2 linked regions of the Styela clava genome follow. The protein of the gene in region 1 interacts with the protein of each later gene in a pairwise test. Links are inferred from orthologs where the notes say so. Each region holds a gene or a part of one and is shown in the gene's direction. Other genes may lie near its edges. The genes, in order: rab-like protein 6 and serine protease inhibitor Kazal-type 1-like.

Region 1 (12,846 bases):
GGTGGGTCGGTCCAGGGCCCACCTTTAAAAAGCTTGCTCCGTCACATTCAGATAAAAAAATATTAGAGGCATGGTTCATTGCTGTTTAATTGCAATTACCGGAATTATACTGAATAATTTTACTTTTATTTATCGTAAGTAAATTTTCAAACTGATCACAATCTTTTTGTTTTCAAAGCCTATGCAGTATCAGTGTACAATGTTAACTAATGAGAACCCACCATTGGAACAGAAAGCACTTATAGAGCTGACAAAAATACTTCAGACAGAAGATCCTTTTAAATTAGCCAGACATATGACGGTTATTGACTGCAAGGTAATGTAATCAGTTACTCATTGATATAACATATTAATTTTGCATTCAATAGACTTACAATTGTCATTACTTTTATAACTTATAACATGGGTTGCCAACTTTTACTCTATCTTACCCCTTGGCAAATATGATAAATAAAAAATATAGCCTATTAATTTCAAGTTTACTCCCAAGGTTCATTCACTCACGATACCCCCCCCCGCCTCGGTTAGGAACCACTGACTTATAATGAATAATCTTTCTTATTCACTATTTTTCGATTTATTCTATTTTCAAATCAAAAGTTATAGTATATGTTTAACATTGTTGAAACTTTAGGTATGTCGAATTTTGGAAAATGATTTTGAACGAATTTTTCTTCCACATGCATCTCAACTGAGACAAGATATTATAGAAAGGTAGGTAGTGTTAAAATGGGATGATTCTTTGGATTCGTGATGAATGCAGAAGTTGATGGTCTTTTTGAATTCTAAATTTTTAGGTATCAATGTATAGCTTTCTGGGTTGCAATATGTGTTGTGAAATGTGCTAATGGAAAGGATGAACGAGCAGTATTGCTCAATACTTTTATTCAAGTAAGTATCTATAAAACTTTCAGGAGTAGGTGTTTACTTTTTTAGGTTCTTACTGATTATTGGTAAACAAATCTCTTTTGTAAACATGGTGCAAAGGGGAATGTGGATGTGGCATTGAAAAATTGCTAAGACCTTTTTATCGCGCTTTGTTATTTTGATTTATTTAAATCACCTTTAATCTTAAAATAAATGTTTTTTCTAAAGAAATTTCGAGAATGATGTTTCAATTTTTACATGTATGAAAATATTATATTATATTGATTATGTTTATTGGTTTATATTATATGTAGTAATGACGAAACTTTATTTTTTAATTTAGGTTGCAAATGAGTTGGTGCATAGCATGGGCAATGTTTTTGGATTCTCAGCAGTTATGCATGGTCTTACATGCCCTCAGGTGATTTTTTTACTTATGTTATTTTTTTTATGATAGTAAGCATTGTAAAATTTGATGTCCATGTAAGGCAAATATATAAAAGTTTAGAAAAGGCTTAAATGGGAACATTCTATAACTCTCTTAATAGGTGGTTGGTAATACTTTGAATAGAATTTGTTTTTGTCGTAACTTTACTTCATTTGTAAACCTTTGTAACTCCATCTCTCCAGCTCAATATATTGTGCATTCGGGATTATAGTGAGTCGATTTGCTCTCAGTAGTGACCGAATCACATACTTTCTGCATTTCTGATACCTTTGTTTGACCAATGCCTTCAGTCAATACTCAACTGCATTGCTTTGGGATTAAAATATGATGTGAATTCCCCAACAGAAGCACACGAATTTACATTATGGCTTGATTTGGTGTGATAGTCTGAGATGGGAGTTCGAGCTTACATGGAAAGCTATGATAGAGCCATTTTGATTATAAAATTCAATTTTTTATGAAGTTATTATATTATTGATTAAACAGATTTCATCATTAGAAACATCTTGGGTATCACTGCGTGCTAAGTTCACAAACAATGCGGTCACATTTGATAAAAAGTTGAGGCCATTGTTGCGTCTCTTGGATGAGGGCAAAGGACAAATTCGTGAGTGTTCATAGAAGTTGTTGTTTCAAACAGTCCTGCGAACTCTAAGAAAATTTACACCAGACTTAAGCTTCAAACCCCAGTTCGTTTATAAATTAACTCCAGACTGCGGTTGAGCCGAATTCTGAACCAATAAACTTTGGCCCTATTTAATTGTCTGTTGAGAATGCCCAGTCACTTTACAAATTTCAACTTCGCTCAACACCATTAGAAGTCAAAAATTATGTTTCTTCAGACTCCAGTGGAGCATGGAAAAACAGTTCCATAAAGTATGAAAATGTGACTCCAGCTCTAATATCAATAAAAACATACCAACCCCCAATTTCAAACTAATGACTATGGTTATAAAGATACCCTCCTCTATTTTTGTATTCATATCTTCTCTTTTCTCTTGAATATATATTTTTTTATTGTAATACCCTGAACCTGCACCCTCTACATACAGTGCATCGTGCATATTATATTGATCGTCGTTCACCTCTGCCTTTATTAATATCTTTGGCAGTCATACTTTGTCTCCTCTTAGGCAAACTATTTCCTCCTATGGAATATCTTCTCACTGATGCTAAATGTTAATTATTAAATATTTTAAGGTTTGTCCACCACATGCATACCTCACATTATGCCGCTGATCAGACTTTTGGAGAATCCAGGACCTGGAGTTCCTCACTTAGGTTCAGGTGAATCAATGTCCAAAAAATTTGCTTCGTTTGGTTCATTGTTGGATCGAATCTCACCTACAAGTTCAATTGGAAAAGAAGATTCACTGAGCTTACACAGCACTGAAAAAGATGGAGATAGGGTGAATTGAGTAATCTTACATCTGCTTGTGGCATTGCAAATATGTCATCTTCATGACATTTGAATATTCATTCTTTTGGACCATGCCAATGCATTTATGCTTTGTATCTAACTTATGCTAAGTAAATAGAATATTGAAAGTGGCATTTTTTTTGACCAGTCTGTTATTTGTAGTATGTGTCGTGACTCGTGAGATATGCATTGACATTCCTATTCTTGTGATAATTGTCGACGATTTTTATTGGTTTAAAAAACTGCAAACTAAATTTTATATTTATTCTCAAGTTTATCTGTGAGAAAAAGTAATGGGATATTTTCTAAAGGATATGCTCTATAATTGCGTATTGGGCAATTGGATGATGGCATTCGTATTATTATGGTAATTATGATTTTCAATGGCTTTAGTTGCTTGAATAGACAATGATATTCCTCCAATTTGAGCCAACTGTGGGATTTTTCTGTATAGAATAGGCCATATAAAGTACAATTGCTTTTTAGTTCAATGTAGTGATAACAATATATAGGTAATGACCAAAAGTATTACATTATTGGAACAGCTGAACGTCAGGCATGAATTCTTTTTTTCTGTTGTCAATAATGATTCTCGATATTCTGATAATTTCTCAAGCAATGCATTTCTTTTCAGACTGACTGGTGGGAAAATATTCCTGATGAAAGTTTTGATTCTCTGCTATCACATCTTATTTCTGGTCGATCCATCTTACAAAATGTAGAAAATTGCAAGAAAAATGCCAATTCAAAACTGATAGGTATATAATAATGATTATCATTTATTACCAAAACTGCTGCTTGTGATTTTTTTTGTCTGTCAACTTTATCACCATTATTAAAATGTTTTCACAGATTTTGTTGAGACTGAAAAAGTTCGGGAAATGTTTACGACCGACTTTCAAATGAGGATGTTATTTGGTTTCAAAAGTGCAGAGTCTCCAAGACGTGATCGCTTCCATAAATTTGATAGAATTATAACTGCAATGTTAAGGCATATTGTGGATTAATCTGTTACTAATAAGTCTTAAAAAATAAAACTTTTGCCACATTTTCTATGAATTAATTAATGCTCAATGTAATTCACAGCAGCAATTTCTGCATAGAATGCAGAGCCACAATAAGGGGCTGCCTGTATATGCCAAAATAATGAAAATATTGTGTCATTGCAGAAAATAGTCCTTTTAAAATGTTCCACCAATGTGATATTTTTGTACTGATACTGTCAACTGGTATTTAATTTTCATTTGATTAAATAGGTCATTTAAAAAATTTTCAATATCCATTGTGCTTTATATAATACTATGTAAATTTGAGATATAACGGTCAATCTTTATGTTTGGGAACTATTGCGATTTGATTTATCTTAAAATGGAATTTTTAGCATTTTTGAATTCATATATTCTTACTATTTTTCTAAATTTTATCGGTTATCATTGTGCTCATTTGAATCTTAATTCTGATTATGGTAAAATGCTTTAATTCACGGTTCATTGCGTGGTACTTAGAGATGTTCATATTAATATGCTGCCAATCCAATCATTTATATTTTTGTACTTTTTACATGTAGTGTGTGAAATCTCTAATCTTGCACTTACCAAGATATGTATAATATAATAATGAAAGTTTTTTAATTGTATTTCTAAAAAGCTATTTACTTAATGCATCTAACTATTCTCTAACGCAACTCATATAATTAGTAATCAATAATACAATTCATTGTGAAATTGACTGTTGATCTTTTAAAATGATACTAATGTTGGCTTTATACAAGGGTGGTATACTTAGCCAATTGCCATAACCCCTTTCATACTGAAATTAGCAGTGTTGCTTATATTGCGCATGGTTAAATCTGCAATGAGCTTGGATTCTGCAGTGATGGGTAAAGCATATTGGGGATCTGTACACTTTCGATATACTGAATGTGGGAAGTATTTTCATATTTATGTGGAGGAAAGGAAATTAGATGAGACTGCTTAATCAAATGGCATGCCATAGCCTTTCGTCTGATTACCAGTCTATGTCTGACCAGCGATACTATGAACCACCTGTCGAAGGTGAGCCAACCAATCCGGGATTCGGACCCGCGCAGTGTAATCAGAAGTGAGGTGGCAAGTAATTTCCTAATGTTTAGCACGATGCGCCATAACTGTCAATAAGAACTATCCTCAATCTGAATATTATATGATAAATCGGCCAAATCAATTTGCGTCCTCTTGCACTAGTATCCGGCCTGACATGTAAAAATTGCCACAAAAAGTAATCATTGCATTCCCACTCACATCAGTGCCTACCTATGGACCCAGGATTTTTATCCGCTGCACAGTTTCACATAAATTTGAAAAACGGAGAAAATCATTAGTGGGGAGTTTCCACTGGACCATTGATACCTTAACATACCTTGTTAAAGTCGTCAATGACTGGACCCGAAGTAAGTGAATGTGCCAGCGTGGTGCGCTCCAGCGTATGGAATGGATATTGCCCCCAGCAACAATTTCCGTGTTTTATTTCGTAACAATGACCAATCAGAGAAATGTTAACGAAGACGTAACAATTATAATATTGCAGCCGCTCAGACACTTTGTTTTTTACGCACAAGAGAGTTTGATTTATCAAACCGTAAATATATATTACTACGATCAAACCGAAAAATACAATATTCATATAATTACTTGGCAAGTAATATTGTAATAGACGCCAGTCATTTTTGCAGAAAATGTATTTTCCAGGGGAAATTTCAAATTTGTCTCTCTGTTTATTTAGAAAATGTTAGCAATGACCGTCAACGCGTTCGGATTTCTGTCTTGTATCGAATATAGGAAAGGAGGAATCGATTCCAGTTTGACCGTAAATATATACGTAAATATATATGTACCGGTTCCGTATCTACTACTACATTACCTATCACCACCTATCGGTGCCAAGCTACCAAAGTGTACCAGCGTTACAGTTCATTAAAGCTGAATAGTGGTGATGTGGGTTTCTGCTTTCTAGATTTGTACCGGCTCTTGACTCTTACTATATCGTATGCCCAGGTACGGTAATGTAGGGATGTGAAAGGCGCAAACAGCTGATACCGGTACGGTAGAGAGGGAGAGATTTATTGCCATAAAAACAAAATCGGTACCGGCCCGATACCGTAGCTATCGTTAAACTTCCAGATAGATTATTATAGTGACTGTTTGGAAATAGAAAAATGGTATCCATGAAACTGACAACGGACATGATAAGACTTTTACACTTTGCTGAGTGAAGCCAGGTTTCCAAAAGTCCATATGCTGGCACAGCGAATATAATACCGATACCGGTATATGTTTTTTCTGTATACTGGTATACCGGTACAGGTACATGCAGATTTGGCTTCACATACAATTATCAAGCTTGATAAATTTCATCAAATCTAATCGCCGATACCGGTACCGTACCGGTACCGATACCAATCATCTGATCATATAAAATCTTTTCTGACAATTTTTGTAGTAAAATGATTCCTAAATTTTGATTATTCAGCTTTTCCTAGTTTGCTTGACAAATGACAATATTTCCAATTTTGACACAAGGCTTATTGTTGTTTTTCATTATGCTCTTATAAATAGTAAATACCATAATTTGGTTCATAAAGTGCATTTTTTGCGCACCACATCTCCTTTGCGATTTCGTATTTATATTAAGCAGGCTTTTCGGGTCTCCTGTAGTTTCGTACCTAACGTACTTCTAGTGGTCGTAGCATAACAATTTTTTGATATGTCAATCCTAACCCCCATCTGATTACGCCATCCAAAAATTAAATCACTACGACATCACAATCACGTCATAGAGCTTGCCAAATATACGCACGATCGACCGAAATGGCATTGGCGTCGACGATAAAGAACTGACTGACGTTATCGGTCTCTCTCCTATTGGAATTGTTGCGACGAGAAAACGAGAGAACTAACTGTTCGACTTCGGATGCTCGTTTGCGCGTCTTGGATGGCAGTTCGTATAGTTTGAAGGGCTCTATTACGTCACTGTGACGTCGTAATGACGTAATTTTTGGATGGTGTAGTCAGGTGGGGGTTGGGATTGATACATGAAAAAATTGTCATGCTACACCCACTAGAAGTATGTTGGGTAAGAAACTACATGAGACCCGGCTTTTCTACCATGGCCCATTGAATTTGATTTCACTGACTGTTGTTAGATTTTGTTCGTCCGTTTATATAAAACTCAATGCAAAAAAGGTATTATATTGAAATGTATCAATACGTACGGTATTTTTCACGGGAAGTCGCAACTTGAGCATATTTCTGGAGGTCGTCACAATACAATTAAGTTCGAAAACTACTATGTCCTATAGTTGAAAGAAATCTACTTTTTAAATTGTTAATAATCTATATGTAGCCGCTATTTTTAATGGAAACGTGCTATTAAATTTGTATCATATTTCGGTATTCATATTTCGTATATTAATCTCGTTATTCTCTACATCCCCCTAAAATGAGCTCCAATGTTCAAAAGAAAATTGATGACAATGTCTTATTTTCGGGAAAACACGGTGTGATGATGTATATTCACTTGGAATCGTGAATTTATCGTTTTACACTATTTTTAATGATTGTATTTCAAATTAAGAGTCTGAAAAAGTGCAATAGATATAGTACTTTGTGTAAAATTGGTGCTTCTTTGCGGCCCCTAGAATTAGTTTCGCGGCCCCGTCCAGGGTCGCGGCCCCTAGTTTGGGAAGTCCTGCTATAGACTACTTGTAGATGTATGACTCGCTAGTCTAATTTTGTAAAATATTTGGCCAGTGATCCAGTAAATCTGTAAATAGTATTTTTTTAAAACTGCAGAACATATTGAATCCGATAGGTAATGGTACTCGGTACTCTGGTACGGAGCAAGTCCTGAATTCGATATGTTTCAATCATTCAAGAAGTGGGTCAAAAATGATGATGCACAACAAAAGGTTGCGCCACCATCTGGCATGCAAATGATGAAGGGTGATCTGCAGAGAAAATTCGCTAAGGGCGTACAATATAATTGTGAGTCTCGACAACGGAGTCATATTTTTCATATTTTTGGTTATACCATATCTGTTATGAAGACGACAAAATTTGTATTGATTGAGAGCGGTCAACCATATCCTAAACAACAACATCAGTAGAAGTGATCTGCTAGTGCTATGAAGAAATAACTGATTATTTTCTTAGTGATAAATCAATACTGTTTACTGGATAATCGTGTATTGAACTGCAGATCCTTTATCCTTGTTTGTAGATTCCTATGTATTATTTACCACAAGGGTGCCATTTTAACGAAGTATTATTATTAATTACAGTGATAAATAAGAAAAACATAATCTCTTCATGAAATGGCAACTATATTTTTGAGCTTTCGTTAGATCATAGTCAAACTTTTTCAGACAAAAAATCCTATTTAATTAATCAATATTATCGATTTTACGTGACCAGCAGGAATGTTTTTTAATGAGTGAAAGGGTCGAACTAAGATTAATATAAGTGTAAATTTTACTGGCTCCAAGAGATTTGAATTGTTTTTAAATTTTTTCATATACATTTTCAGTGAAAATTGTCATTCGAGGGGAAAGAAATACAGGAAAAACATGTTTATGGCACAGGCTAAGGGGACTCAAATTTGTTGAAGAATATTTACCAACTGCAGAGATCCAAGTTGCATCGATACAGTGGGATTACAAAGGTATTTCATATTGTCCTAAAATTCATGATTATTTTTGAGAAAACTTAACCAGTTACTTGATGTAGTGTAACCAGAATGTTTTGTAATTTTTCAATTAGTCTTGCAAATTTTATGAAAAGCTCAACTCTTGGGTGTGATGTTTTTTTTTGAGTATATTGCAAGTTGCAACTAAGATAACGATCAGTAGAGGTGCACGAGACTAACTCCCAATCCTTTCTTAATGCCTTTGCACTAGTGGATCTGTATGCATGTAATGCAAGGATGCTGTAACAGGAATAAAATACCATAATATGCAATTCAAGAGCCCTGCTGCACAATAACATTAATGTATTTCTGTAATGTTTGTCTGACCAAAATCAGACTTCCTCAGACAAGCAGTTTACAACAATGACAAGAAAAGAGCAATCATGCAGTTAAAATATGGCGATAAATAAATTGGTTTGAAATTAATTGTTACCAAACAATGAATAAACAATTATTTATATTCAGAAACAGATTCCAACAGCATATTAAGATTACAATGTTATTAATAAAATGTCCATGCTTTTTAAACACTTGAATTATTGTTTAATAATCAATTATTACAATACTCGAAACTATTATAATTTTTGTTCTTGAGCAATAGATTATGTTTTAGAAATTCAAATCAATTTTTCATGTGATCTTGTTACTCATTTTTCACTCTGAACAAGGCCCAAGACAAGTGACAAATCTGGTAATTGGTATCCAGTCTTAACCAATCCTAAAATTATTTGAATTTTGTTTTACATATTTTAGCTACAGATGATGTTGTTAAAGTGGATGTCTGGGATGTTGTTGATCAAGGTGAGTAAATATACTGCTGATATATGAACAAACTCATGTTGCCTTATCTATATGGACTCCTCCACTGCTAGAATTAATGTAGCGTAATTTCAAGCTTCACTTATTCCCTTGACAAATGAGGTTAGTTGACTCAATTTCAAAACAAAGCTGTCTTATGGCGGCTTGTTTTGACCACGATTTCGTTTGATTATAGTTCCCAAAATAGCTTATATATAATAGTTTTAATGGCTATCAGCTTCCTCCATGATCATTCGACCATGGTATTTGCATATAAATTAAAATGTTTGATTCTGCAAATATTTATGTAACTTCCAATCAAGTAGGGGTGTACCAAAGTTTTTCATAAGAATGCATTGTTTGCTATTGACATGTATACTTATTAAACACTTACAAGATTTTTGCAATACTGCAATTACGTTTAATATTATAATTACATTAAAACTTTGAACGAATGCATTTTGTTTATTTTTCATCAACATAGGTATGCAATTATCTGTTTCTTCATAGTGTACATGAGTAACCAGAGTTATTTACCTTCAACACTACAATAATTCAAACAAGAGTTATCGAACTGCCATGTTACCATCTGTCTTGTTGTTTTTGTCTCCTGCATCTTATTCCTTACTGGTTTGAACTGTCAACTTATTCTTCCTAATTTCAAATCAGAATTTTTTTTATACATTCAGGAAAATCCAAGAGAAAAGAATCGAAAGGATTGAAGTTGAGTAACGAAGAAGTATGTTCATTCGTGATTATGTAATTTATATTGTTTGAAAGAGGAAGTCAAACATTTGCCATTTATCACAATTCTCTCCATTTTCTAATTTAGTGATTCATTATACAAATGAGTACGTAGTGGTGAGAGACTGGAGACCTCAATAAAACAAACTGAGTAATTTGAGTTTTCTATACATAAATTTAAAACAAAATTCCATAGGTTTCTTTTAAACTTTTTTAATATCTCAATGTTCATATTAGACTCATCTCAGGCAATATTCATACAATGACCCAAATAGCCTTGAAATAAATATTTACATAATTATCCTGGTATTATTTTGTGTTGAAATACTATTTGAATTTTCCAGGATGAGGAAGATCCAGCACTCGATGCAAGTTTTCTTGATGTTTACAAGCATACCCACGCTGTTATAATGACATTTGACATCACTAAAAGATGGACTTTTGCTTATATAGAGAAGGAACTGCCAAAGGTGTGTTGATTTATTGGTAAAATATAAAACTTGAAAACTTTCATATTTCTGTATTCAATATTTCCCATAATAGCCAATTGCAGTTTATTTCTGTTTATTTGTATTCATTTCCCATATATCATTCTGGAGACTTATCAATGGACTGCTTCGTTTGTTTATTTGGTGAAATATTTTGGACATGGCATAAGTTATATTTTTTTTTTTGAAGAATCTGGATTTGTCTAAAAAGAAATGCATATTCATATTTCTTATACACATCTGTAATTACCGGTAGTTATGGTCGATATTATAGTGAATTGTTGCTTTCAGGATTATGGCATTTTGCTCAAACTATTAGACTTTCAACATGATGATGAATACATGTTTCACACCAATAAAATCTTAACATGGCATTATGTATATGTTCATTGTTCACTTTCTTGCATTCTATATGATAAAAAAGATATCTTGCTCAAGAAAAGAAAAAAATGAAACAATAGATTTTTCGATCTTTACATTGCATCAGGATATTTTCGTTGTATTATGTTCTTGCCTGCTCTTTTATCAATTGTTTTATTTCCAGGTACCAAATCATATTCCAGTATTAGTCTTGGCTAATTTTCGAGATATGGGACATCACAGAGTCATAACAATTTACGAAATTGAGGTTCTAATAGAGTCAATTGAGAGGTAGGTGCAAAATATCATCCCACCTTCTCACAGATTTCTTTTAGTCTTGAAGAACATTGAAAGTTGAAACGGGCTAGAATTGTCTGTAGAATTCACCTCTATAAAAATTCAAAATTATTGCTAATGTAAAAAGATCAGACATTGAAAAAACTGTTGTCTGTGAACACTGCAGAAATCCAAAAGTATCTTGAAAGTACAATGTTGCTGCTTTCCGTATATAGTTTTAGTAGGTTGTATACAAACAAAGGTTATCGAAGTAAAATATCATTCAAAAATTTGCAAAGATTCCAAAAGACCTCAAATAATAACAGTTAGGAAATGATCTTTTGGACCTGTCTAGTCCATCCATCAATCAAAGTCTTTCATTTTATTTACAGTGTAGGACTGTAGGTACACTTGACACTCTTTTTTATCAGCCTAATTCCAGTCCATCTATTTATTAGGCTGGTATTGCAATTTGAAATGGAAGATAACTATATAAAAATAGTAAAAAAAAAGATGAAATGTGTAATGTGTTAGTATTGCCTGCCAATGTATAATACATGTATGAGTCTGCGTTGTAAGTTTTACATGATAGTTATAAAGCGGTTTCGTAAAGTATTAATCTCTTTATTGTGTTTTATCAGGCCTCATGGTTCTGCATCGGTGATGTTTTATGAAAGTTCAATGAGGAATGGGTTTGGTCTCAAATATGTTCACAAGTTTTTTAACATGCCTTTCTTATTAGTTCAGGTAATAATTTTCAATGATCGTTTTAAGTTGTTTCACACTGATTAGAAATTTAGATTTCATCAATGTCTCAATTATTCAGAGTTTGATAATTCTTCTTATTGATTATATTTTGTGATCTTGTCCAAAAACCTTTTGAAACTTTGTTTTGAATTGTTAGAGATTGCTTTTGTAGGCTCCAAATAAATAAATCATGCTAATATTTAAATCAATTGACATGAGATATTAACTATAGTACAAGACTAACCAAGTTAAGCAATCTAAGTAAAATACAATCTAGAACGAAACAGTTAAAACATGCAATGAAATATAATGTAATGTTCAGCTATAAAAATCAAATTTTTGTCTATTTGTAGTATTGTTATATATTTCATACTTTCAGTCTCATTTGAAAAAATTTACAATGGTAAAAATGAAATAGTTTTATTTTCTCAGCGTGAAAGTTTGTTGAAGCAACTCGAAACAAATCATCTAGATTTAGAATCTTGTATTGAGGAATTGAGCACAGAAGAACATGGATATGACATGTATGTTGATTATTAATTATAGTCTTAGAGTTGGAAATATGATCAAGATTAATAACCTATTTAAAGTTTATTGAATTAAAATTCCTCTTTCACTTGAATTTCTATTGAACCAAACAGTGGCTGCCTAAAGCACTTTGGTGGTGCATTATTCTTAGGCCACGTCCACGTAATAAATTATGTTGGTGTAACGTTATGTATGTATGTATGCAAATGTTTAAATCTGTTCAAATTTGTCTAACTTTCTTAACCGAATAAAGGCACCTATTCACATAACATGATAACCAATTACTAGATAATTTTCAGCTTGACTTTTTTTTTTTTAAAATCAATAAAATGTCATGGGGGAGTGCAATTGCCATTAATAGGATTGGTCTGCATTTATTTTTTATATCTATTGATTTTGAGACCTCGTTGTTGGCCACTTTGCTGAAATCAATTCCTCAGTTCCTCACC
Region 2 (12,981 bases), on another chromosome or scaffold:
AAGAAGTGAGGAGCTCAAAAGGAATGTGGAAAATCGAAAGCAAATGGACTAAAGGTCTCAACTGATTCAAATAGCGAAACAAGCGACAAAAACGAAGGCGAGGAAACTATCAACTCTTCAAGCAACCAACGAACGAGAAGGAATGCGTGAATATGTCAACACGTTGTTGTAAGAAACGTCGGCATTGTGTCGTCATAATTTCGGGGCTAGCCCCGATGATTTAGTAAAAGAAACAGAAAACAAACGAGACAAACGCGGCGAGTGGAAGATAAAAGAGAGAATACGATATGCAATAGGCAACCGGGGCAAAATCGGCGTCGCCCCGTCGACGTTCGGCGAAGGCTTTGCGAGCGAAAAATGAACCATGTCAGGAGAATATGGCTAGTGTAGACAGTCTGTGCAACCGATATTGAGGTATTTTTCGAATATTTTTTTAATATACCGAAAAAACAACCGGGGCATTGCCCCGGTTGGCCCTATTGACGCGCTGCCACTGGTCATCATACATTCTCGTTTTTCCGCTCAGTTTGCAATACTTGGCAAAGTCAAACTAATTATTCGGTAAAACTAAACAAGCAATAAACCCATGCTTCAATGTATTTTCTGCTTAAACGTTTACATAAGACACGTTAAATTTCAATCAATTGTTGTCGCTAAGGCGTTTGCAATTGCATTTTATTTAAATCTCCATTGTTTACGTCAGCGTGGCGTGTTATTTAAGCCCTAAAAATCTTGATTTCGGTGTTTATTCTTCCTAAATCCGAAATTTCCCTCGACATATTCTTGTGCCGCAAAGACGATTATAATTACTTTTTTTGTTCTCGAATGGAACCATGACACCTCTGAGGAAAACGAGTTAGTTTTTATTATAATCATCAGCCACGAGATGCTAAAGATATAATAAAGAAGTGAATCCGTAACTAAAAATTTCTTTATTGTAAAAGTGGCATTATAAAATACTAAAACTAAAACGGAAAACGAGTTTTGAGAATGAGTTTTGTTTTGGGGTGAACTGCGACAGATTAAAAACACTTTCTTACAAATCAAAACAAACTGCAATCGACATTTTTATGGTTGCGGATTACCGTGTTATTTTGGAGTACTGGTGCTTTTATTTTATCGACGCAATCGCAGATTTAATTTATCACAATTATATGAATAAAGCAACCATTTAAATAAGTATATCAATCATGGATTGAATATTTTGTTCAACAGAAAAACCATTACATATCCGTTGAAAAAGTCGGCTCTTATAACGGCTGGCGTAATCTCGAGGACTGACTCAGAAGCCGTACCGCGGGGATTTCGTTTCGATGAATATGTATTTTTCATCTACAAATATACTTAACATGTATTTTAATTGTACTAAATTGAATATACTTTCTGCGATATTATACCAGGTCTTCCTAATGACGACACGAATTCGCATGAGTGCAATGTATATAAAAACTAAATATAATCGGGCAGTTGATCACACTTTATTGTGTCCGCGGATTGGCGTGGTAATTTAGATATGTATGAGTTTATTTTGTCGTCAGTCGCCGCAACCGCGAGTTACCTTGAACACAAATGAACTAAAAAAAAGAGACAATTTGAATCATTGTAGTTATTACAAGACGGAAAAATTTATTATAACACGAAAAAGCCGGTATTTTTACCGAACGCGGAGACTGTTCAGGAGCCGTTACATGTAAATTTCCGATTCCATCTTGTGAGCAAAAAATATACAAATATCGCCAACTAAATATGCACATACAGCTAATGTAATATGTATATACAGTCAATTAATATACAAATACAGCCATTTTGGTGATGTACATACACAGCCAATGTCATGTGTATATACAGCCAATTAGATCACTCAATAGTCACATAAAGACAAGTGAAAGTGAAGCTCATACAAATGTCAATATCTTATGCATATGTAGCCAAATTAATATACATATACCGCCAATCGAGTAATGTTCATACACAACCATTGCAATATGCTCATATGGACTACATCAATGTCACAGGTATGTATAGTCAACTTCATGTACTTATGAAGGCATTCAAGAAATGTCATATGTATATACTATAAACTTAAAAGCCGTTTTGGAGTTACTGAGAGTCATTTTTAACGCACTCATTATATAAATATGACTTCCAAGCTGCGACTTTTAGATGTAACCACATCGGTACATAATATACAGCAGGTGCATGGATATGGAATGGATTGGCGGTGTATGTACATCCCTTAAATATACCTGCATATCTATATCGATTTGAGTATAAGTACATATGACATTCGTTGTATATGTACATTACATGAATGGCTTCATATGTATATTAATGGAAGTTTCTATCAATAAATGTAAAGTATATGTAATAAATTATTGTGATATCAGCATCATTTAGTGACAAGCCCCTACATGTTATTTGTGCGTAACGATGCGTACAATGTCAGTCGCACTCACTGAAAATTCTTTTATTTTTTTAGTGAACTATTGCCATTGGCTTTCAACTGTCTACAGACCAATCAGATTGAAATTTGCTGCAAACTATCATTACTCACGTTTCATATTGATTAGTCAAGAAAGCATCGCCAGATTATTTTTATAGGATAAGGCCATGTTCGTTGGGGTTCGTTGAAATGAGCATCACTCAACGGTAAGCCTTTACATGCTGGTTGCGCATAATAAGACACAAAGATGCCGGAGCACGTGATTATATTAATGTTAAGCTATCAGTTTGTTGAATAAAAAAAACGATTCAACTGAAAATGTCAATTTATATGCAAAGACCATTGTAGCAGAAAAATGTGGAAATACCATTAACATAAGAATAACATGGTAGTAATGCTGGAATAGGTTTTATACACACCAATCCTGACAACTAAAAATCAAGGAAATTTAGACATCGTAAAGCAATGATTATCAAGTTTTTGTGTTAAGACACCTTTGCAAAAAGACTCTGGGCATGCCACAGACCGTTGAAAACAAAATGATAGAGACACTGAAAACCAAGTTTAGAAAGCTTTATGGGACGCAAGGGCTCAGCAAAAACTTTCATTATAACAAATTGTATTTGAGACCCATGTGGGGCCAGATATTTCATCTAAATGCTAATGTCGTATTTATTTCAAATACTTTTATATGATGCAAGTGAATAGGTGATTCTACCACGCTTGTCCGTCGATCATTTATTAACAAACTCAGTGGTCAGCTAAGGCTTAATACGCAATCTTAATGTCAATATATTTTAGCATTGCTTCTCCATATTCATGATATACTGGCCGGGCCCAATCAAGTTAATTCTCATCCAGTTCAAGTCATTACTCATCTAATGCCAAGTCAGTATCTAGTTTGAACTCACTCTAACTATTGCCTAAAATAAGGCATAAATCTTTTAAAATATAATACCAACTGTTCACTCTCAATTTTTGATTTTTCAAGCCCAAAATTTAAAAAAAATGCGTACGAGTGAAATTGGTTAAATTAAACCTACTTCAATTTGAAAAGTTTGTGGAAAGTAACCAATATAGGAAGTTGGGCCACGGTGGGATATGGGGCACGGTGGGAAATCATTTCTTGCACTTATACTATATCCATAATCAGTCATTCGTTTAAAAGTTTGGCTGCGCCTTCCGGTGAGTTGCGACGTCCCCACAAACGAACAGCGGCCGTGCAGAGCGACGCAAGATATGAGTAGAATTGATTTTGGGAAGTGGAAACCAAAATATCGCCATCTTCGTCTTTTCTTATTCTACAGGGCAAACGACTGTCTGGCATATTTTAGCTTTCGGGCCATGGCCAAATTCAAAATATATATTCTTGATTCGAAATTTTTTTAAAGGGTATTCAAAATAGTATAGTGTTTGCTTTTGGTCGAAATTGGACATTTTACTTGTTAATATATAACTTTGGATTTTGTTGTTTTATTGAACACATTGATCATTACAGTATTTGAAAATATATACTTCCGCTTTTTGATCAAAAGCCGTATGTGATGTTTATGGATTTTTTAACAAAGAACTCTCATTATCTAGAATGAAAGTTACAGAACTCAGTTTCAATTGAAATTAGACATAAACCGGAAGTGAAACAATAAATCTTTTTCAGATTTAAATATAAGAATCTAAAATATTCATCTAGTAATTCTATAAAAACTCTTTAGATACGCATGTCTCCAAGATAGTTGTATGTTGCCAATGTGAGAAATATTTTTGAAAGACGATCTAAAATAATTCAGTTGAAAATTAATTTCAATGATGATGATGATTCGTTGAATATAAAAATGCCTCATTGTGTCCCAGGGTGTGTTCGAATTCACCCTACCAACGCAATGGGACTGAAGAGCGATTTTCAGCCAGCACATTTTTCGTGTTTTCGATGATCAGCTGTTGTGGGGTATTATGACATCATAGATTTGGCGCCTATTGTATATCTCTGAAGAACTAAGTTGGCGCCTATCTCTTTGGAGTTTTACGCTTTTTGATGCGCTAATTATATGAACGACCGGTAATGTGCATATAATTCGTAGATGCAACCGCATAGGGTTTTGTTTTTTTATCAATTCTAAAAAAAACATCGTGTTTTGAAACAAAGGCTTGTTTTGAATCAAATTTTTTCTGTATTTTTTGTATTTTTTTATTGAAATACCCCTTGCATCGCCGCGAAACTACGCCAAAACGTTGCATTCTGGCAGCTGCACACACGCAGCCGGAATTATAATTTCAAAAATGTAAGTAAAATTTTTTAATTTGACTTTTACTTCTATTGCGTACATATATCGCCACGTTTGTATCTCCACCGAAGTCATAAGATTATACCCGGAATGTACAGCCGAGATATCAGAAAGACGTTTTTGAGTAAGAAAAATCACGAAAATTAGCTCACGAGCCCACTACAAAAGCAATTAGATCAAGTGCAGCCCTTCGGCAAAACGAGTGGGTTGCGATAATGAAGAATATGCTTGTATCGGCGGAAATCTACTAATATAAATGACGAGACACCCTAGCCTAGCCTATGCTAATTGTAGGAGTCCTCTGATGCAAAGACGCCATAACTAATCTGTTACGACGCCATAATATGGATTTCGAGTTCATGTATTGACATTTTTTTCATAAAATAAAGGCATTATTACGGTTAAAACTGTTCGGTTAATTTATGCTTAGCCTGCTTTGTTTTTAAGGTTGAAGTGATAGAGTTTTTCAAGGTTATACAAACTCATTTATTCGATCGCATTTCAATTTTCGCAAGGGGGTTTCATCGCAGCAGGGTCGTTCACTTAATGGCTTATCGATTGCGTCTTAATGCGCCAACCACTGAACTACAGCTTGAGAAGGTATACATGAGCCTCTATCGATATTTGTGGCGTTTTGAAAGATTTATTGCAAATAAGAAGCGCTTCGCAAGTTTTTACGTCCATTTTTATTCAACCTATTTAATACAAATAAATCAAATAGTACAGCCATTTTGAACAAAACAGGCAAAAAAACTTGATTCGAAACAATTTTTTAAAAAAAAGTTTTAAAGTTTTTTTTTTCAAAAGTTTTAAAACAATTCTTTTTGAACAAATCCCTACTGAACCGCATATACATGAATTGGATTCTTACGAAAGGATCTGGCAGTATTTTTACATCACCATAATGGCTGTATTTGTATATTGATTTGGCTATATATGCATGCGACTTGGCAGTATTTGTACATCACCTTAATGGCTGTATTTGTACATTGAGTTGGCTATATATGCATATGACTTGGTAGTATATGTATATTTGGTTGGCTGTATATGTATATGAGTTGGCGGTATATGCATAGGACTTGGTAGTATATGTATGGCACGTTACCAACCCTATCGCACCGCGTTGATCCCCGACAATTTAAGAAATATGTCCAAAAGACTGGCAGTTAAAACATTTTGGTGGTGGGGGATAGTATACTCGTAACTGCAAATCTCAAGTACCCTACACGTACGACTAAATGCAGCGGCGGGTAGTATCGGAAAACGGATAAACTCGGAGTTGTTTCAGTATTATTTGTATTTCGTACTTTAAACACTTTGCCTTGACGTGCTGTTCGCCTAGGAAGTATGATATGTCAATCGACACTCGACATATTACACCTTTCGACTGAACGTTTGTTTGTTTATATTCTTCCGCTTTTAATAGAAATTTTCGCGTCACCCAGTTGTATGCAACTTGACAGTTTCATCATTTGAGATTTACCACAAGAATCCACCAATAGTTCCCCACTAACCAAAACTTTCACTTGTTCACGTAACCTTTATTAACTACATTAGGTTTATATGTCTTTATTGGACGGTCAACACCTGACACCACGACACGGACTTTCCACCTTTGTCGTTTTTGGTAATGCAACATTTCTCAATTTGATTGAAAACCTAATTTCATTCTCGCCCCGACATTTTTTTGTTTGTTCTTCAATTTCATACATATCCCACTTTACAGGCCGCAGCGATAAAATAAGTGAAATTTTAAGTTTTCCAATAAGAAATAGGAATAAATACAACTCACAATTCTCCTTGTAGAATATGGGTAGTATATGGCTATGAAGTAATTCCCGACTTCGTCAGAAGTCCTCACGCAATCGCAGTCGAAACAACAGTGGTCTTACTTGCTTGAAACTATTTTAAGTAACACCCACACGATTAACATGGCAAAGAAGTCCCTTGTCGATGATAGTAGGTATAGTAGATAAAACTGTACATACGTACATGTTAGAAATAAAATATCAATTAAAATATAGAATTAATACTCGTAAAAATGTACGTATGTTGTGTCTACATAGTAGCAGTGTTCACTAATGTGTAAATTGTTGAATTATGTTTGTCAGAAGGATTCTGACTTGAGTCGGTGAAACGTTTCAGAAATACATTTGTGTTAGTGTACAACAAGACTATTGAATCAATCATATACAATTTAGATGAAAGAGTTACGAGTATTTATAGCAGACATGGAGATCATATATATACCAAATGTCAGCCTTGAAATTACAGTGCAGAAAGAATAGAGTTTCGGAGACTTTATATATGTCATTGTATATATATGTTTCAAATCAAGTACAAAACGATTTAAAGTTAAACGATGAAAAAGTGAGTAAACCTCGTCAGAAAGGGAATATAGAAGTAAACTTGCGTCAACTACTTGAAACGAAATTTCATAACATGTTTCATTGCTAATATGGACGCCAAGCTAAGATTGGACCCTAATTGGGTAAAGTTGTTTTTCTGTTTCATGAATAAATGGTATTGTTGTATGCGTACATCTAGTATGTGCTCAGTGAGTTCACCTGATACAGGGATTACAACTGATGAAAGTATAATGCGTGATGAAAAAACAACAAGCAAAAATGTAAAACAATTTCAGATTCAATTATCTGTGCATTTTTAGGGATTTAATAGTTTATTGGGGTTCGGAACGGTAGTTCAGATCAACACGCAAGATGTGCCAACTAATGCCAAGATGCCAACTAATACTTACTTCCTCAACTCGATTTAGTGTTGATATATTGGAAAAGCAAGTTAACAAAATGTATGATATTGAAGCTTTTCCGTGAAACATATCTTAGTTGCACGTTTTGAAATAGCATTGGGAAAAAGTGAAACAAAAACTACCCAAAATACTTTACCCAATGCACGCACTGTTTTAGAGCAAACGTTTTGCTCAACGTTCTGATTCGTTTATAGTTTTTTCTTGCTGAAGGATAATGTTATTTCCTCACCACACCATACCTTGCTTTATGGAATTTCTTTCTTTGGACCTATTCTCCGGTTTCATAGCATTGACGTAGTGACTGATTTTCAAGAAATGCATTCTTACTAGACACCGGTTTCATAAAATTACAATTTTGAGTTAATTAAGTAGGTTTTTAAAAAGTGGAGGTTTAGTTGATAAACTCAGTCACGACGGCCATATAATGGTATATGAACTGTCAGTATTTATGACAAACTTAACCAGAAGCTAAGATTGAATTGATGAAAAGGACCCATTTCATTATTCGTATTTTAAATAAATATTGTGAAAATAGTGACATAGATACGCTGTGGTGGTTACGATCAAACCTGAACATTTTTAAACGGCTGATAATGGGGAGTCCCTTTCGGGCCGACAACTGGCCATACATATTCAGAATCGTAATGAATTGAAATGCCTAACAGACGTTTGATAATACTAACCTACGATATCAAGCTATATTTGAAACAGTAAATAAATATTACCGATGACGTATTAAGGTCCAGGTGTTATATACCAATATAATCCCATGACGCACTTATTCGAATTTGTATCTGAACGACTTTTGTTAGAATGGCATGCCTCGTTCGTTAATTTTCGATTTTACTCTTCAGTGTAGTATGACAAGTGAAGCAAATCAAATTATCGACAGCGCATAGCTGGTCCACTTTCTCGGTGGGTGTTCGGTGCACATGACCTTACAACTACAACTACAACTACAACGAGTAATAATTTGCAGTGCTGTTAGAAGTGGGTTATCACGGAAACGATGAAACTGATTTTGAATATATATATTTTTTCAAAATTTTTGACGTCACTATTTACATAAAGTCGATTTAGTTTTCTACTTACGAGACTTGTATGTGCTTTCAAAAACCGCCTCAACAAAATACGAGGGCAGTTAGAAAACAATCATTGATGACGTGTACTGAGAACTTGGTTCAAAACTTTTATTGAGTTTATACTGACAGTCGTGCAATTTATTTTCTCGTATATTTAGTCAAGGTACGATGCTATCAAGTTACATTGGTATGGAAACCAACTTTGATCTGGAATGATTTATGCAGTTCATGTTTTCATCAATCATAGAATAAGGTGCCGTTGAATATTTGAATGAGAAAGTAGTAACGAGGGGACGAAATGTATAATGAAGATGTTCTGGAAAGATTAATAGTTAAACTGAATATAGCGATGAATATCTTGCAGCACTGAATATCAGTAACACTTCATAGGAGTTGTGCCGTCATCCTTGGATGACTTGACAGTACATATTGGTAAATTTTTTCTAGTGAATGATACCAGGTAAACGTGGAATACCAATAATCGTTTTGTGTTTCGATAAAGCAGTCTACCAAATTTTTATCCATTCAACAATATTATGCAACAAGTATTTCAACCCCGGTTTGCAATCTGCAACCATATCTAATTATACATGATATTATTACTTATCGATTTTTTACTTATCGATTTTATTACTTATCGATTTTAATCGTTACTTATCGATTTTAATCGAAAGTAATAGCCTTCTGGCGACAACAACAAGCTTTACCACTGAAGATTTCAAAGCAAATGGTCCGATAGTTGATGAGCAAAGCGATTTTTTTTTCACAATACCAACATTCTAACAAAACTATCTATAGGTCCACTTCGTGTCCAACAAGGAGCGCACTAAATACCCCAACCTAATGAAAATTTGTCATAAACGGACGTCATAAACGGATCATATTAATTTGCGGTCGATTTCTACAGGGTTGATTTATAAAAAATTAGTCTCGCAAACGAAGTCTATTTCATATGAACGGTAAAAACTGAAAATTTTATAGAATAAAATTCATCACAAAACTTTTTCAGTGATAACCCACCGCTAAGACAAGGAAAAGTTGAGACCAACACAAACAAATTTGCGTCCTTTATAATGTATATGCTAATTCCACAACCCTTCAAGACACAGGTCATATTCCTTAATATAACTATAAAGATAAAATATTTTAATTACAGGTTTAACATTTTCCATAGCCTAATTAGAAAAATGTGGAAAGCCACGCTCTTCCTGTTGGTGTGTTTGTCAGCGATGGTGTGTAAGTCATTTATTACTATTTATAATTATTGTAAACGGTACACAACCGAGTAGATTCAAAACTATTCCATGAACCGTTGAAGCATCATGTCGGCGGTATTGCATTTGCCTATTGATCAGAATAAAATTAATATATATAGTATAATAAATTTATCTCAAGGGAAAATAATTTGCACATACTAAAAAAATGACAAACCTAGATCTCCGGCCCACCGGTTCACAGTTTATGCAGTATATATCAAAACTGCAATTATGTTTTATACAGTGCTATGTACAGCGAATGAAGAACGCGAGGCAGATGTGAGTAATTTTCAACTTACGTTTAATAACAAATTTAGTATGCACTTTGGATTTAATGTAGAGGAAAATAATTGATTCTAACTATATCGCTTAGTTCACAGATGATAAAGATGTTCAATAAATAAAGAAGTTGAACAATAATGCCTATATATATAAACAATATAGTCGTACACTGTTTTGAACCCTGAAGAAAATTTACTTGGCCTGGTTTAAATATATATAATAAATAGCCTACTAGCTTATTTGGATGTAATGTGTGTATTAAAAATAATAAAATACACAATGCCGTTATTAGAAACATGTGTCAAAATAGTAAAAAGTATCATCATCATCGATGTATATGCACGAAATGCATCACCTATTAGGAAAATACATTTCATCTGAAAGTCTAGTTCATAAAGTTTGGAGACCGTGAGTTACAGTTAAAATATGTTGGAGCAAGCAATAACATTTTCGTTTTACACCCTAGTTGAAATGTTCAGAAAGAGAGTCCAATGGCATTTGTCCAATGATCCTATCTCCAGTGTGTGGAAGTGACGGTGTGACATACGCCAACAAATGCTCACTGTGTGAAAGGAATGCTAAGCAACCAAGAGGGTAAGTATATTTTTGGGACATTGTTTCGGGACGTTTAGCAGGGCAGGAAGGCATACTTGAAACTTTCCTCCACAATGAATCACCCTGCAGATGCGATTTCGATATATATATACTAAATGTGCTTTTCCTTATTCGTACGAAATATATATATATATATATGTAGATGTAATCATGTTGAAATAAGTGTCAAACGAATGCAAAAATAATAGAAATAGCCCCGACTCCAGATCAATACTCCGATAAAATTAAACTATGTTAACAAAAACTTTGGCGTATTCAAGAATTCTTTCATAGAGTTGAAAGAAGGCGTAGTAAACCTAATCCTTCTTGAATTCTCATATCACGATAGAAAATCTGAAATTCCAGCCCCGACGATTTCAGAAATTCGACTCCGATGAATGAACTCCAGGCTTCAGTGAGATATGCCAAACTCCGACTCCACAGTCTCTGTTAGGGTGATTACAAGTCTGGATTTAAACAATGAGACGCCCTAGGCCTAGGCTATGCCATTTGTGGTGCCCTTCTTTATCAATGACGTAATAAATATTTTATCATGACGTGCACCGTAGATTTATTTAAAAGGTTTAATCCGTGAAATACCAACATTCAATACGGGAAGGATTGTGCACTAATCCCCAAGTAGATTGAATAGTAATTTGCATTTAAAAACACTCGAAGAAACTAGAGGCTGTAATAAAACGTCATGGCACCGGAAATCCCAGCGTCATAAGACCCGTGTCTAGTCGAGATGGATAGTAGGCGGGTGTAGCCCAAATACTGATAAATAAAGGTACATTCCATTTTGTGAAAAAACGGGTCTAAGATAATATTAAAAAATCCATAATAGTAAATATATATAATTGTCGAATTCATTGTTGCTTAGATAATTTAGTATATTATATGTAACGATATTTTTTTAAATAAGGCATTATTAGGTTAAAAACTGCTCAAGTAATGTAAATTAGCATATTTTGTTTTTAATATGGAAGAAGTAGAGTATCATAAATTAAGACAAATTCATTTATTCGACCGTAACCTTTTAAATTGTATATATTTGGGACAATAAATATTAACCCGATAAAACAAATATCAGTTCTATTATGAAAAGAGCCTTAAAAATTGACCTAATAATCGAATAATAGGTTAAAATTGAAAGCCGATGCACAAAGACGTCACCCTGCGTTGCCTAATGGCAAATCCGGCCTTGTAAAAACGCAACACCATAGCGCCTCGCGGCACATTTGTTAATTCCGATGTCTTCTCAAATCAAGATGTTTCATCGAATCTGAGCCCTTTTTCATTGATGAAACACTCAACGTCTTCGTTAGACGCCGTTTCTACCTGTAAGTTCCTTGCTCGACTTTTATTAAATCTAGAGAAGCGGACTCGCTGTGGACAAATTTCTACGCTTGTGTCGTTCCCGTTTTCAGGGCTGATTTTTCATATAAATTTGCGTTCTCAAACTGCTTTTATTTTGACAGGACTGCAAAAGTAACACTGCGACACTCTGGCGAATGTTAATTGAAGATTCCTCTCGAACAACTGTGATCAAAGGGCATATATTTACAACTTAATTCTTCAGCGAGCGGTGTAACGATAATAAAAAATTGGGTGTAAATAAGTTATTTTCCATATGTCGATCTACTGTTTTGTCGTTTTAATGTTCCCCGGGGACAGCGGATTCATTCAAGTCCGCCAATACCAACTTAAGCCTAATCCATAATTTAAATCTTACAATGAAGTTGAATTGAAGCACACCACAACACTAAGTCCGCCCCACCAAAGTCTGGACTAGCATTTAAATTGCCAGATAGCAATCCTGATTTGGTGCTACGTAGCATTGTGCGTTGCCCACAAAACCTGAGTACTAGTCGCCAACCGCTCATGCTTGAAAATGGCCAAGAAGACTGTGGCATGTCGTGTTGGAGTATCTTAAAATTTTGCTTTGAAGCAAAAAGCATAGAGAAGACAATATAAATAATATAGAGACACAATAGTGTCATCCTGGTGGGAATTTGATGAATACTTGCAATGCAAGATGAATTAACAAAATATATTATATTCAAGAAAAGATACAGCGGCCGAAAACATGACGGTCAAAAATAAGTGCATAGCTAAAAAAATGAAAGGACAAACGACATTTAAAATTCCAGCAATCTAGAAGCTATACTCCCTCTAGAATATGTTCCAAATAAGTTGGGTTCTGTTCTTTTTAGGCCATCCTGTCGTATACATAATAGACAATATAAGCCTACTGCTTCCATCGCAGGGG

What was found.
Region 2: the proteins of rab-like protein 6 (region 1) and serine protease inhibitor Kazal-type 1-like interact in binary tests that used the Homo sapiens proteins (3 or more experiments, as listed by UniProt). The link is inferred for Styela clava from reciprocal best matches to the Homo sapiens genes RABL6 and SPINK7.

What each region holds. Positions count from the first base shown.
Region 1 is NC_135254.1:11,566,073-11,578,918, forward strand, and holds the start of rab-like protein 6, read left to right. Parts: upstream 1-7,535; 5' UTR 7,536-7,629; coding exon 7,630-7,756; intron 7,757-8,297; coding exon 8,298-8,432; intron 8,433-9,209; coding exon 9,210-9,257; intron 9,258-9,943; coding exon 9,944-9,993; intron 9,994-10,342; coding exon 10,343-10,468; intron 10,469-11,030; coding exon 11,031-11,137; intron 11,138-11,763; coding exon 11,764-11,869; intron 11,870-12,301; coding exon 12,302-12,393; intron 12,394-12,846. Other genes in the region: breast cancer anti-estrogen resistance protein 3 homolog, read left to right, coding at 179-316, 635-714, 798-891, 1,211-1,288, 1,802-1,922, 2,516-2,724, 3,370-3,493, 3,588-3,742. UniProt on the Homo sapiens protein: May enhance cellular proliferation. May reduce growth inhibitory activity of CDKN2A.
Region 2 is NC_135251.1:15,160,527-15,173,507, reverse strand, and holds serine protease inhibitor Kazal-type 1-like, read left to right. Parts: upstream 1-9,716; 5' UTR 9,717-9,764; coding exon 9,765-9,813; intron 9,814-10,077; coding exon 10,078-10,112; intron 10,113-10,581; coding exon 10,582-10,709; intron 10,710-12,190; coding exon 12,191-12,230; 3' UTR 12,231-12,343; downstream 12,344-12,981. UniProt on the Homo sapiens protein: Probable serine protease inhibitor.